Linked DNA regions of Kluyveromyces lactis. The protein of the gene in region 2 interacts with the protein of the main gene of each other region in a pairwise test. Links are inferred from orthologs where the notes say so. Each region holds a gene or a part of one and is shown on either strand. Other genes may lie near its edges. The genes, in order: KAR5 and SPR3.

What was found.
Region 1: the proteins of SPR3 (region 2) and KAR5 interact in a two-hybrid assay, tested with the Saccharomyces cerevisiae proteins (2 studies listed by BioGRID). The link is inferred for Kluyveromyces lactis from reciprocal best matches to the Saccharomyces cerevisiae genes SPR3 and KAR5.

Annotation. Positions count from the first base shown.
Region 1 is NC_006042.1:2,422,632-2,430,453, forward strand, and holds KAR5 (Kar5p), read right to left. Parts: upstream 3,159-7,822; coding exon 1,695-3,158; downstream 1-1,694. Other genes in the region: JLP1 (sulfonate dioxygenase), read left to right, coding at 345-1,523; AEP1 (Aep1p), read right to left, coding at 3,427-4,899; DHR2 (RNA helicase), read left to right, coding at 5,729-7,822.
Region 2 is NC_006038.1:717,268-725,354, forward strand, and holds SPR3 (septin SPR3), read right to left. Parts: upstream 2,466-8,087; coding exon 819-2,465; downstream 1-818. Other genes in the region: PEF1 (Pef1p), read right to left, coding at 2,885-3,973; KLLA0_B08173g (40S ribosomal protein eS10), read right to left, coding at 4,987-5,307; KLLA0_B08195g (uncharacterized protein), read left to right, coding at 6,032-7,024; YPK9 (putative acid anhydride hydrolase), read right to left, coding at 7,097-8,087. UniProt on the Saccharomyces cerevisiae protein: Septins are GTPases involved in cytokinesis that assemble into filaments and form a ring at the cleavage site. May act by recruiting MYO1 and HOF1, a protein involved in septation, to the site of cleavage.

The DNA.
Region 1 (7,822 bases), on a different chromosome or scaffold from region 2:
AATCGTGAAGTGTTGCTAATTTACTAAGCATAATTACTCATTTACACCCATTCGGTTTCAGGCATTCTGGAATAAGATGTCAAGGTAACAAACTTATATAAAGAAGAGGTTTGCACATAATCACAACGGTAGTTTGCAAAGGTTTAATTTCGAAGTTGATGCTCAATTGTCAATAAATTAAACAAAGCATAATAATTGTAATTCAACAGACATCCTGCCTGTTGACAAGACACTTAAGTTACAAGGTATTCTTATTCGTGTAGTTTCGGGATAAAGAGTCATCAAGGAAAAAAGTACTGACGTCCAAAGTAACGATCTCCTCCAAAAAAATAAAGTTTTAAAAGATGCCTGTTGATATCGCTAAAAGATCAGACGGTAATTACGACACCCACTTCTATGCTGGTCAAGATGAGATTGGCAAGGATGGTGTTTTGAGGATTGCAAAGGCTTATAGACAAAAGGTGGCATATCCAGATTTTTTGCCGGCTTGGAATCCTAATGAAAAGTATCCACCTTTGGAATTCCACAAGTTTGAAGACCCTGGTCTAAGAGCCGATCCATCTTTCCCAAATTTGTTGAATGGCAAGGTCACTTTAAAGCCAATTACTCCAAAATTAGGTACCGAGATTAAGGGCTTACAATTAACTCAATTGAGTGACGCTGCCAAAGATGAATTGGCTTTGCTCATTGCTCAAAGAGGTGTTGTCATTCTTGAAGATCAGGATTTTGTCGACAAGGGCCCTGGATACGCTGAGGAATACGGCAGACATTTCGGGAAGTTGCACATCCACCAAACATCCGGTGCTCCGGAAGGCCATTCGCACTTGCATGTGACTTTCAGGCGTCCTGACCGTACTGAATTCAATAGAGTTTTCAGAGACAAAACTACTTCTATTGGTTTCCATACTGATGTCTCTTATGAATTACAACCGGCTGGTTATACCTTCTTTGCTCAATTGGAAGGTCCAGAATCTGGTGGTGACACTTTGTTTGCAGACACGATTGAAGCTTTTGAAAGACTGTCGCCACATTTCCAAGAGTATTTGAGCACATTGCACGTGATTCACTCTTCAAAAGAGCAAGCGTTCAATTCAAAGAGTAACGGTGGTATTCAAAGAAGAGCACCAGTTACCCACATTCACCCATTGGTTAGGGTTCATCCAGTTTTGAAAAAGAAATCATTGTTTGTTAATAGATCTTTCTCAAGAAGAATCGTAGAATTGAAAACACCAGAATCCGATTTATTGTTGGACTTCTTGTATAGTTTGGTTGAAAACTCCCACGATTTGCAATTGCGTGCTAGATGGGGACCCCGTACCGTTGCTGTCTGGGATAACAGAAGACTTCAACATTCAGCTTCTGTGGACTGGGAAGATCCAGTCACCAGGCACAACGTAAGAATTACTCCACAAGGTGAAAGACCGGTAGAGGATCTAAAGTATTTGAATGACCCAACTTATTTCCCGCACCGTGACGAAGAGGAGGAAGAAGATGACGATAGAGTAGTATACTCCAAGTATTGAATTGGCTGGCCCTACCTCTACAACAAAACCTTTTTAACGAATAATTGTTTTTTACGGCGACTACTCTTGATGAGTTTTGCTGGCATTCTCCTCTTGTATTTTCACTATGTAACATGTGTACGATGTCGAAAATAAAACATTCAAACTTATGGCTCTGGCAAATAATACCTTCTATCGAGTGACAAAACTTTTCATTAGTAATGAGCCCCATGATCCCACTTTAGATCCAGCTAATGCTGTTACAACTACTGCTATTGCGTATAGGTATAGATTCATCGAGATGTATTTCCTTAAAAAGATCTGCAGGATCCCTACCAAAACGACCTGCCGTTTTAACAAAAACGTTAATAACCGTACAATAGTTTGTAACCCCTTCAAGGATGTACTCACAAGGTTATTTAAGTTTCGCAAATTTGATTCAACCTCTTTTGCCTTTAAAAGAGATCTGTCTGTTTCCTTTTCTAAGGCCTTAAATTTTACTTCGATGGTTTGTGATACATTTTCCAAATGGCTTGTAAGTTCAACATTCATGTTGTCTAAATTTTCAACAATGGAATTTGACACACCTCTGACGACAGGTAAAAGATCGTCAGTCAATAATGGTATAACAGATTCATGCACTAGTTTATTGTATTGAAATATGAGGTGTATAGTTTCTTCTTGTGTCTGCATTAACTCATCGCTAATTACTAGATTTTTATCACGGGTTAGGTCTATTAGATCTGAGAAAAAGCTGTCAATAAGTTCCATGGATGTCTTCTGGTGATCCAAGATATAAGTCGACATAGATTCTAATTCATTGAAGGCTTTGTCTGTGGAATTTTTGTTCTTTTGAAGTTGTGCCATGTATTCTGAGTCGACTTGCCGAAAAGTTTCAATTAAGTGAGATTTTATTAATGATAGATCTTCATTCACCTCATCGTTGAGATTGTCAAATGATTCAGTAAAATTAAAGAATCGGATATCAAACTCTGCCTTCATCTTGTCAAATTCAGTGATTAATTCTTCGTCCTTCATTTTGTGATTTTGGATTAAATCATTGACCAGTGAATTGAATAAATTTTGGATCATGTCAATATTCTCCTTACCATTGATTTCTAGATCAGAACTAAAACTTTTCCAATAGTTTTCTATATTTCTTTGAAATTCTGAGTACATGTCAGTAATATTCAAGAATAGCTCAAGGATCTGTTCCTTTTCGAACGGTAACGAATTCTCCATGCAAATATGTGGAAGATTTTGATAGTTTCCACTGTATGTTGTCCACCACTGCGGAGATGACTCCAAAGCATTGACGCAGCTTATAGTATCTATCCCACCTAATCGTTTTTCATGACATTCGCTTGGGTAGTTGGTTAACCCAGATGACTCAAATTCACAAACTGATAAGCGTACTGCGGTGATGACTCTCAAATCTGCATCAACAAATTCGAAACCTTTCCTCATACATATTTCGAGAAACTCTCCCAAGGCATTTTTAACACAGCTTGACTGAGTGATGGGAAATTTATTATTGATGTATTCACGGGATAACTCTGTTATTTCTAGTTGATCGAGCTCCTTTTCTATTACGTTAGAAATATGTGGCAGTAATTGACCGGAAGCGATCCATATGCTGAAAACAAGAAACCACATGATGGCTTCTCGTGAATGGATTAGAACAGTATCCCAAGCTTGGTGTGATCTGGTAATTCATTAACAAGATTTTGCCTCACCCATTTTCTAAATCTCCTTTTATACCGTAAGAATCAATACCAGAAAGCAGCTGAAACAGATGTGAAACATCAACAAAAAAAAATGTCACTATATTAGCACTATTTACAGTAATTCGGGAGTAAGGTTTAAATTGTTTTAGTAATCTATAACATGTGTTTGAACAATCTATCATTTTGAATGTTGGAAACTATGCTCTATTGTTCAAAAAGTGCAGTAGCGTCTCTCTATCAACTCCAGTAAATCCAAACTGATCAATAAAGGTGGTTTGATTTTTGACAACTTCGATAACTTTGGTGATCTCTTTGACAGGTTGTTCGTTGATAATGGTCTGTACTGCTCTAAAGTTAGAGTTAGTGAGTAATGCTATGATAAAAGCAAGAAGATTTGCATTCGGTACAGTTCCATTATTGTATGCCTTAATTCTATAATATAATGAAGAAATGTTAAGACTATTGTCCACTTGAGAGTCCTTCAACTGTGCGATTCTAAGCACGAAGTTGTTGACACAAGATTTTGCAATGTCTTTAGAGTATTTTGATTTGAGGGCTAAGTCCAACAAAGCAAATATCTCTGATTGGTGAATACAGTATGGTAACAGGAGATCAGTCATTCTGCATGTTAAATTAGAGGCGAATACCGGGGAAAGTACGTGCAAAAGATAAAGTTTTGATTTTCTTTCAAGTGGAACAATGCCTGCATCTGTTTCCTGACCAGCCTGTCCGACGAGTTCAATGTATTCTTCTATGGACGGTAGAGATGGCATAATACGGCGAGATGCCAAAGTTTCTAGTAAAATCCGCGACACCTTGATATCCTTACCCTTTAAGAATGTATCAAAAAGCTTATCAAGTTGAACATTGTTGAGATTAGTTATTATATTTTGGTTTAAAGATTCCCTGCTACTCTTTATCACGTTCCACAGTAGGTTAAGGGCTGGTGTATCAATTTTCGTGAATAACTGTTCTCCCGAGAGAACCCATTGAATCAATAATGTGTTGAGCATATCAATATCATCTATTTCCTTACCAACATATTTTGGTAAAGTTTTCAAGGTGGCCTTCCATTGCGGAACTGTTAAGTTGTCTCTCTGCAATATGTACAAAAAAATCTCCTCCAAATAGATAACTTCCTGACCTTTATGGAATATGAATAGCTTGCTCAATTCACTGTCTAATGTCTCGAATGACAGCTGTGGATGGCTGTTCAAAAAGTTGTCTAATTGTTTAACAAATGGAGACTCCGAGGTCAGTTTCGTTTTTCTCACTTTTGGTCCGGAGTCTGATGAAGTAATGTTGACTTTATGAAAGAGACGGTCTCCGGATTTATGTATTCTCTGAACCCATTTTGATACATCTTTAACTGTGTCAAAACTCAATCTGGATTCCACTAGAGTAGATTCACTTGTCACTGGGTGTCTCACAAATGCTGGTAATACCGGCTTCCCATTGAAAAGTTTTGGATTCCTTTCAGTGATGCACAAAGCTGTGCGTTCGGTAGCATTAGGATATTGGTAGAATGGATGTACAATCTTGTTAGCTGCTGGAACCACGTACTCAGGTAGATGTCCCCATTCTTCATCTGCTACTTTGAATTTGTTTTTTGGAACCAGTAGCGTCTTGCCCGGTTGCAACTTATTAGCAGCTCTAGAAAGTATACTCATATCACGGGAAAAAAGATGAGAGAGTGAAATGTAGATAGTAGATGCAGTGGTTAACGTCGTAGCCACAGATAATATATAGTTTTCCCCAGATGTGATTGGTGAACGGTCCCCTATAGGTCTAACGCTGTAGGTTGAGTTTATCTACCATGCTGAAATAAAGCTTTTTTTTTCAGTTTCGAAGGTGCTTGAGAAAATACAAGTTCAACACTGTTCAAATCATCGTGGAATTACAATTAAGAGACGCAGCCCAGTAAAGAGCACCCTGTTCAAAGAATATGATACTCTTTTACTACACCGAAGACAGCATTAGTTTATATATATATATATATAAACTAATTTTCTCTTGATGGTGTTATTCCTTCTCTATGTTAAGGCAATGATGAGAATTTGTCACTGCTGATAAATGGATATCGTTCCAGTATAGTATTGAATAATAGACTAATCGTTTATTATGAGAGTTCCTCTGTAACGCTTGAAAGTGAAGCAAGAGAGTTAGGTGTGATATACATTCAGGACTTCTTGTCAGCCATCATCTTATGCCAGATGTATCAACAATATCAGTTTTTTTTTTCATTGGCAATATTGAATCGATGATGAGCTAAGAAAATTTTCAGCAGAAACGTAAATAGTAGCTATTTCCAGAGATGAGATGCGATGAGCTATGGAAAATTACAAGCTTGGTTTTGTCAAAGGTCTTTTCAGCTTTCTTGAGTTGAGATTATTGCTATTATTGCCAACCACTTGCTGTAAGGAGCTAGCAGTGAGGATCTACAGCTTCCTTATTTGTTGACCCACTCGAGTTTGATTCAACTATAGACCTATCACTCAGATGGGAAAGAAGAGTAAAGCGGTTCAAGACCGGCAGAATGGGAAGTCCATTGGAAAGAAGAAATCCAATGCAAACCCGTTAAAACGTCACGCTGGGAAGAAGACCGTAGTTACTTTTGATGACCATCAAGATGGAGATACTGGGGATTCGGATTCCGAAGCCTTGGATCATGTGTCAAATAAAGAGTTAAAGACAAGGGCACTGAGGTTATTGAAAGGGCGTGAGAGTTTACCAGTATTCCAGAATAAGGAAAAGATCGTGTCTCACATTAAAGCTAATCCAGTTACCATATTGATTGGTGAAACAGGTTCTGGTAAATCTACACAAATTCCCCAATTTTTGATGGATGAGATTTCTCCGATGCACAAAGGGGCCATAGCTGTTACTCAACCACGTAGAGTTGCAGCAATCAATCTTGCAACTCGGGTGGCGCAAGAGCACGGATGTAGAATTGGTCACGAAGTTGGTTATTCTGTTCGGTTTGATAATAAAAGTCACAAGACAAGAACTAAATTGAAATACTTGACAGATGGTATGTTAATCAGAGAATTAATGCTGGACAAGAACCTATCCAATTATAAATGCATAATCATAGATGAAGCACATGAGAGAACTATATTGACGGATTTGATTTTAGGTTTTTTGAAGGAACTTCAACTGACCAAAAGGAAAGATTTGAAAGTAATAGTAATGTCTGCCACATTACAAGCAGATCTATTCAGCAAATTCTTTTCGAACGCACCTATACTATTCGTTGAAGGCCGCAAATTCAAAGTAGACAGATATTATCTACCCAGACCTTGTGAAGATATAGTGGATAGTGTGGTACGCTGTTCAGTTCAGTTAAACAGTTCAGAAACTACAGGAGATATACTCTGTTTTTTACCGGGGCAAGAAGAGATTGATAAAGCAGTGGCCATTTTAAACAAAATCATTCCATATTTAGACGAATCTGTACCACGCATCACAGCATACCCACTTTATGCTGCATTACCACCAAAAGATCAAGCTAAAGTCTTCGAACCTTTAAAGGGATTCAAAAGAAAAATCGTATTGGCGACTAACATTGCGGAAACATCTGTTACCATTCCTGGAGTTAAATATGTGATAGACTGTGGATTAAGGAAGGTGAAAGTTTGGAGGCATCAGTTGGGGCTAGCTACGTTACTAACTGTTCCTGTTTCAAAGGCTAGTGTAGCACAAAGAGCCGGTCGTGCAGGCAGAGAAAGTTCAGGTAAATGTTTTAGATTATTTACAGAAGCTGATTACAAACAACTGCCGAAACAATCTGAGTCCGAAATTACTCGATGTGAAATTACGTCCCCTATCTTGATGTTGAAACAGTACGGCGTACAAGATATTGTAAACTGGTCGTGGCTAGAACATCCAGGGAAAGAAGCTATTATCTCGGGGCTAAAAGAATTATATGAACTTGGTGCTCTCAATGAACAGGGTCGTGTCACTGATAGAGGTCGCAAGATGGCGCTATTACCTTTAGCACCACATCTAAGTAACGTTTTGATTCATGCTCAAGAGACTCAAGTATTGCCATACGTCATAGATATAGTATCATGTCTGAGTGTTGAAAACTTGGTGTTAAACCCATTGCCTGAGGAACGAGATGAGGTCAACGAAAGAAGAAGGGCATTATGTACCCTAGGCAGTAAGCACGGTGACCTAATCATGCTAAAAGAGTTATTCGACATGTATCAATCATTACAAAGCAATTCGGAGAAACAAGAATGGTGTAAACAGTTATGTGTATCTCAGCGTGGATTCAAAAACGTGATTAAAGTCAGAGAACAGTTGACAGGGTATATGAAGAGACTGTACAATGAACCGGTAGAAATTAAAACAAAACAGGACACCCTACAACCAGAAGAAGACATTGCTACGAATCTGTTGCAGCCGCCAGACATTGCGGGTGTTTTAAAATGTTTCCTATATGGGTTTGTCAAGAACACTGCAATTGGAATGCCTGATAAATCTTTTAGAACAACGCCAACAGGGGAACCAATATCGATCCATCCGTCCTCGATGTTATTCATGAATAGTGGCGATGAAATAGGTCCATGCCCTGCGATATTATACATC
Region 2 (8,087 bases):
TTCGACGAAATGCTTCCGGCTGGTGAAAGTCACATATAGCTCCACCGTTCTACATAATAGGTCCTCAGATGAAGCTGCTTCATCCAAGACTTGGTAACTACGACTGTTTGCCGTCAAGCATTAGATTCTTTTATCTATCTAATTCAAGTTCTACGTATTTCAAATGCAAATGGTTATATTATTTGTTTCATTTCAGTTATTATGGTTAAAGGTTTCTATTCATCGAGTGAGAAGTACTTAAACGCCCACCCTAACATTAGAGATGCCAGAAATGTACCTAGATGTAGTCATCATTGAAATCTTTGTGATTGAGACTAGACAGGGTTTCCAATGCCTAATCTCAAGTCATATAATCTTCGCATATATTTCTATAAAGAAAAAGAAGAGTAACCGAAGACAACTCTTACACACATCAACCGTGAAGAACACTTTCCTCGCCATTCATGTATGTTGAGTGTCAGCCAGTATATTTACCCTCTGTTGGTCTTTTTAACTTCCTACTTTCCATTACGATTAGTTGATAGTAAAGAGATGTAACTGTAGGCAGTTTTGGATTTTTTATACAAAATTTTTTTAAACCTCTGTTGTTTATTTTTACCCGGATATGCGTCAGTTCAAGCACTTCAAATAATGTCATTAGGGCAGATAGAAACAAATTATTCCGGCAGGATGATAACTGAACTGATTATCAGAAAAAATATCAAATTTATTATGTTAATGACGTATTGAGCATACTATTCTATATCTTTATTTATTTTTTTATGTCTTCCGATTTTCACTGAAATGGATAAACTGTGCCTTTCTCAAGCAAAAGACTTTCATCTAGCTAATTCAGAATGTGAAGATAATCCAAGTTTAGAAAATCTCCTGGGCCTCTGTTTATTCACCCTTGTCTCCAATTCATTGCATTCGGAACGAATCTGTTGGACTATTGTATGAAGATCCTCGATCTCGTGGTTGAATAAATTTTGCTTGTTTAGCAAATCCTGTTTCCAATCCTTGAATCTTTTTTCTTCCATTGACACAATCTCGCTAAGCCGTTTCTTTGCTTCCCATTGCTTATGGATAAACTCAGGGGACCATTCGATAATCAAATCATCCATAAATTTCTTGTTGAAGGCTTCATAGAATTTATAGTTTTCTAATCCATTCTGATCGGGATTATCAAGATCTAAGTTAGTCAAATCCAAATGATCTGGACAGTTGGTCTTAGCCTGTTGAATTCTTGATAATAAGATATGAGAACGACATTTTTCGTAGTAATTTTCACATCCTACAGCGAAATCAACAAGATTTTTAGACATTAACACTGTTCTTAAAGCAGTAAATTCGGAATGTAGCGGATTCTCAACTTCCACATTTCCCCATTTGTATTTTCTACCACGTACCAATTTCCCTTCGTTATTTGTTACCATTTCATCGGAACAAACGATACCGAACGGATACGTATCGAATATTGTTTGGCAGTTGGGATGGTTTTGATCCAAGAAAGAACAAACTTTTATCTCTTGCTTTTGAAGAGTTTCTCTGATTTTCCTCTTATACATTTCTAAGTCAGCCGAGGTTAACCCATCAATTTTGGCGATAACAGGGATCAAATTAACCCTTTTAGAAATTTCTTCCATTGCCGCAATGTCTAATGCACTCAAGCCATTTCTGGTCAAGTTTATGAAATATAAGCAACAGTGAATACGGTTATCCTTAAGGGAAGCTCTCAATGGCTGCTCTTCTTGAAAGATATAAGATCTATATTGCTCATCAATGTAATTTACAATTGGTGACCAAGAAAAATTATTGTTTGCAAGGTCGCCAAATCCAGGTGTGTCAATGACAGTATATCTCAAGGTAAACCCATTTTCAACTAACTCACTCTCATGGCGAACGATTTTCGTTGTCTTTGTGACTCCTCTTTCTGTCATATCAGATTCCCATACAGTAGGTAGAAGTGAAGTTCCGAACAAGGTATTGATGAAAGTTGTCTTACCTAATCCAGATTGCCCTACTACCATCATGGTGAATTGAACACCGTTTTTTTCAATGAAAGTTTCCTTTTGTAGAGGAATAGAATCGATACCAATGTGATAGTGTTCATCAATAACAGACGGAGTGATAAACTTCGAGCAGTTCTCTTGAGTTGTATTGGCTGTAGAAGAATTCATGACCGAATTTAGCGTATAGAAGTCACCTTGAACGTTTATATCCACATCTAGACTCTTCAAAGCGCTGTTAGATTCTGTGGAATCAGCTTCGAACAATCGTCTAACCGAATCGAGCACCTCTTTTTTTTCTTGAGACTGCGGTTTCACTTCAGTACATTCTTCTTCAGGTTGCTCGTTAATGACTTCCAGGTTATCTGCATTCGAACCATATTTTGCTGGTCCATAGGAAATGGAATCATATTCAACACCAGTTGCTTCAATATAATGATCCATTGATGAACCCCAGCCATTCTTAGTTGAATTCATTGCTTTACCGTTCGAAGCCTCCTGGTAAACGTCAACAAATGTAACACTTCCACGATAAATCCAGTCACTGGGGGGTCAGTTCCTTGTTTTACTACTCTTATACTATTATAGATTTTTTTCTGTCGCTGGACACAAAAATCAAAAAAGTATTGAAATAGAAAAATTAGTACTTTATGTCACTACAGATATTTCATATGCCAGTGATTTTTTCTTGTTGCTCGAAGTGACTCTGCTCATCGCTCTAGTCTGAGGATGTAGTTTTTTTTTAGCTTCGAACGAGGGAACAAGCTAAGTGTCGCGATCTTCTTCAGCTGGATAATGAAAGTGTAGAATAATTAAAGATTAATAGAATATTTGTTATTCGATAGGAATTACGGTTCCTGGTGAATCTGCTTCACCATATAGTACATTTTTTAGAATTAATGTGGCAAGAATTTGCCTAAGTACAAAGTTAGATCTATGAAATCTTTGTATGCAATGGTTGCAGTCCCTTCTTGTTGCAAGTCATACTTACGGAAAACTTTGGTTAGTCGCATTAACCATACTAACGTTTCAACAAATCTATCAAACTTCATTTCTTTGTTTAGCCTTTGCTGGTCAAAGTATTCCGCATAGCATTCAAACAATTTCTCACTAACTTCAAAAGGAATTAGATATCCCAACGATTGGACAGCTTTATGAAACTCAGCCATCGTTAGCGTAAATGAGCCGTTGATATCGTTATCTACAAAACATTTTCTCCATTTTTTAACTCTCTTGTATAACGAAATGAATTCATTTAAGTTGACAGTACCAAATCTAGAGCCACCAAACAAGTTTATTAGTGATTCAATTGAACTTGTACAAAATTTCGACCCATCATCATTCTGTAACAAATTATGCAGTTCGTCTGCCGTGAGTCTGCCCATGTTTTTCAAGTCATGGTTGTTGAAAAGCTCGGTTGCGATTAAGTTATCTTGTTGTTCTTGTTGGGACTCTTGTGATGCTATAGAACCTGCGCTAGATGCGGCCAGTGGCTGATTTTTGCGATACTGTACTTGAGGTGCCGATGAAGACTGCATAGAGCGTGGTGGTGGAGGGTTTGGGGCCCTTATTGAGATATTTTGTGGTGAAGAATGCGGTACTGTTGCTACTGGATGACCTGCAGTTTGACTTTGATAGTAAACCTGTTGTGGTGGAGCATAAGTTGACATACTGGCGGAACTACCATTATGGGCAGGCATTTGAGCCATCACCCTGGAAGGTGCAGGTGGCTGTTCATAGCTCGGTACCCTTGGTTGAGATCTTTGTAGCCCAGGTCCTGCTCCGTGTTCGTAACCAGACATCATGGTTCTCTGCTGTGGCAGTTGTGATTGTTTTTGATAACTTGAATCCAGTGAGTATGACGAAGGTGCATGGTGAATGGATGGGTTCACAGGTACTGGCTGTTGTTGCAGCTTTGGATTGATACCATATTTCATCTGCCGGCGTCTTCTCTCTACCTCTTCTCTCCTTTTACCCTCTTTCATCGCTTCTTCTGGGGTCGCGTACAACTGTAATTATTAAGTGTTTAGGAATGGAAAGTTAGTGACAATGACATTATTATCGGGGGGGGGGGGGGGGGGGGGATGGGGAGCTCTTACCCTCATTAACCTTATAAGTACTTCAATCGATACATACTGGTAATTCATCTCCTCCGGAGTAATTTATTTTGTTTGGAGCCATGATAGGGTGATAAATCAGAATGCTACTATATTGAACAAAAATTCACAACATTCAGCTTCAAATTAGTATATGACTCGGGTTTTATCACTCTAATTAATGCTAAGATCTATCAGTGCTACTGTTATCCATTCACGAGAAATCAAACGGGATATATTTCATTCTAACAGCTCTTGTTTGCTAAGTGTGTTGTTGAAAGTTTATGTTTGGATTTATTTTTAATTTCCGAGATAACTACTGAATGAAAGAATGTCGAAAACCCTGACGATGAAAATATACAAAACGATCGGCAGCAGAGAGAGGAACCAAAAATAGCTTCTGTACAGGCTTGAAAAAAAACACCAGCTATATGTTGCTTTATGAGACTATAAAAGACAATATACAGTTACGTGAGAGTATGGATTATGTGAAGTTTTTTGGAGCAATGTAACGACACTGCAATAGACCCAAGAAAAATAGTAAAATGACAAAAGGATACTACTCCTCACATTTATAAGTATGTGATTTATAGTAATAATAATATTGGAAAATAAAAATGATATCATGTGCGATAATAACGTGTTAACCCATTTGAATATTGAATAAAGAACCGACAACTATGTTTGAGTAAATTTAAGAAAAAGGAATCCAAGGATATTCATTTCCTCAGGAAATGAATAACAACTGAGGTTCCACATCTTGCTCACTTGTACGACTTTATTGTAAATTAATACGAATCCAAACAGTTGACATTAACAACGTTTTACTGACAGTATGATGAGAAAATACGGGTAAAACACAACTTCCCCATCACACAAAGTCAGGCCATGTCTCAGTCAATTTAGTACTTCTTACCTTGTGGTCTTTGGTCACCAGATTGACCAGCCAAGTAAGTAGCTGGGAAGATGTGTTCTGGCAAGTTCAAGTACTCTCTCAAGTAAACTACACCTTCTTCAGTCAAGGTGTAGTAGTAGTATTGCCATGAGAATTGAGTCTTGACAAAACCCTTGGAAGTCAAAGATTGCAAAGCCTTGATGACAAACAAGTTCTTGGTGTCAATTTCTTCATGCTTTGGTTGGTTGAAGTCCTTCTTGGCAACCAAGACACCTTCTTGGAACAAGTGTTGGTAGATCTTCTTTCTGTCTTCCTTTGGAATTAACATTTTGTTCTGCTGTTGCTTACTTGATTGAACTTACTTTTCTCTGAAACAGGTTACAAAACACATAACATAAATTATAAAACAATAAGTAAGAACTAAATTGTACAAATGCTAATACCAATTATAAAACTAACTGTCAATAACCAAATGTAAGTTGTAATTCCTCTATAATTCATTGAAACTTTTCAAACATCGACAAAATCAAAAAAAAAAAAAAAAAAAATTGAACTGATCGTTAACGTAACTAAGTCTGTAGCTTGCAGTACATTATGGATTTCAGATTGTTAGACAGTTAGCAGTGAATCGATGAGGTACTTTCCCATCTCTACGGCTATTTGTAAGTGAGTGATTCCTAACGTCAGCTTGTACGATATACTCTGTGAGGAGACCTGACATTTGCTTGGGTTCGGTTTCTCTAATGGTGAGATTACAATTTCCCCATTTGATAACTTTAATATCTTTCTAAATGTATGGGTGTTCCGAAAAGTGGCGTTTTGTTTTTGGATGTCCAGGTGTTTTGCAATTGGCCAGTCCCTCGTATTTGTATGTCACGTGTGTGTTATTCTGTCTCATTTTAGGTTGATATCTCTTTATATGAATTAAGGACAGCATCGTATGGCACTTTGTTCCGCTTTGATATATATACCTTACAAAGGGATTCTTAAGTGTACACTCTTCTGGTAATACAATATCATCACACTAAACTTCTGTCATTTCCGATTTTCCCATGCCATTATCATTACCTGAGGAATCAGGGTTTGCCTCTTTTGAGTCCGGACTAAGAGACAGCCTTACCAATAAGATCGAACAATGGAAAACTATAACACTGAACCTAATTTATAGCTTACGACGATTCAAAATATTGAAGATTACGATTATACATTGGTCCATTTTGTCTACTTGGATTGTTCTTCTACTGCACTTCACATCTGTTTACGGGTCTTTATACCAGTCTTCTGCATTGTTAGCCACCATGTGCACCAATGTACTCTTGTTCGGAACTTCAGATTGCTTGGCACAATGCATTTCATGTTTCTTATCATACAAAGTAGACCCGGTACCTGAAGTTGTCGATAAGGTAACTAGGAATTTAGTTGCAGGACTCTCGTTCCGTCGCACGGAATCCTTTGATGATAATTATAGTGACAACGTCTCGATATTCAACGACTATGGTGTCGAGAGACCTTCTTTCGAGGGTCAAACGGATACTCGCAATGCTAGTCCTGGCATTGATTCAGAGCTTCGTCATGACTGGGATCTTGACTCAAACTTGGATTACGATGCTGATGGTACATCGTCGTCTAACAATGAGCTTTTCAGCTTTTACAGATGGATCTGTTTTATGTCCTGGGGCTGGTTCCTATCATTCTTTCAAGTACCGTGGTACAAATTCTTAAATTATTTTTATACCGAGGATCCAACGGTGGTTCAAGTCCTGGAAAGAGTGCTATCAGATCAATTGGTTTATTCTCCAATTTCTTTATACTGTTTCTTCATGTATTCAAACTATATTATGGAACATGGTGATGCAGAATCTTTCCAAATTAAAATCAGAAACATATACATTACTACGTTGGGATGCAATTATCTTGTTTGGCCGCTGGTTCAGTTCATCAATTTTTTAATGGTCCCTAAACACCTACAGGTTCCCTTCAGTTCATCGGTTGGCGTTCTATGGAACTGTTTCCTTTCAATGAGAAATTCTTCAAACTCCTTGTAATTTAGTGAGACAAACAATACCGAAGAAAGATACAGGTAGAAGCATTTCCGTATACACAGTAAATATTTCAATCTATACAAAGTTTAGCTGTTGCTGCTTCCTGTCAATGTTCTTGTATTTCTTGCTACTTTGTTTCTTCTTGAACAAATGTTTGAACTTTTCGGGGATATATTTTGATGCGTAGTAATTAGCTGCAGCCGTTGTCAGGATTAACCATTTGAAAGTATCAGATATGTTTGTTAACTGGAGCAATTCTCCTAACCAGGTTTGCACATTCAAATACATCAATCCAAAACTAACTAACATAGAAAGAGAAATGTCCAAAATGAACCCGATGTTCTTAATCATAGGTTCACGGTATGGAGGACCTTGGGATAAAACCACTGCAGTAAGAATGTACTGGAAATTAGAGACGAAGAATAGAACAGTATTGTCACTGGATTGCACGGCGTCATCTCCACCGACAACTGGTTTCATATACCAAGAGGTGTATTGAACTGCAATCCATGGTAGTAATTGGAATATCAATATAAGAGTGATGTTCAGACAAAGGGGTACCAATATCTTTGGTGAAACAAGATTAGCGCTAGGCCTTTTCTTCACTAATTTGCTATTCGGCTTGGACCATGACATTGAAATAGCTATTGGAACGATTAACAATAAGTCAATGTATAAAAATTGGAAATCTCCTAGGTTTGATCCTCTGCTGTATAAGATGGTAATGGTAATGAATTGAATTGCTGAGTACAAACTCATATATTGGAAACAGGAGAAGGAGGTCACCAATGATGCTCTACCTTCCTTTATGACGTCCAGAACGCAACTGATATCAAAAACAGCCGAAGTAAATGGAGCAGCAACTGATGCTTCCGCTTCTGATAAAGAAATACCAATATTGGCTGCTTTTAAAGCCCCACAATCGTTAGCTCCATCGCCACAGAAACCAACGTTGTAATCTAATTTTTGTAATTGTTCCACTAATTCGTGCTTCTCATCTGGAGACATTCTGGCGTAAATTGAACCCTTCATTAAAACTGTGCTGATATAATCATCTGGCAAAATT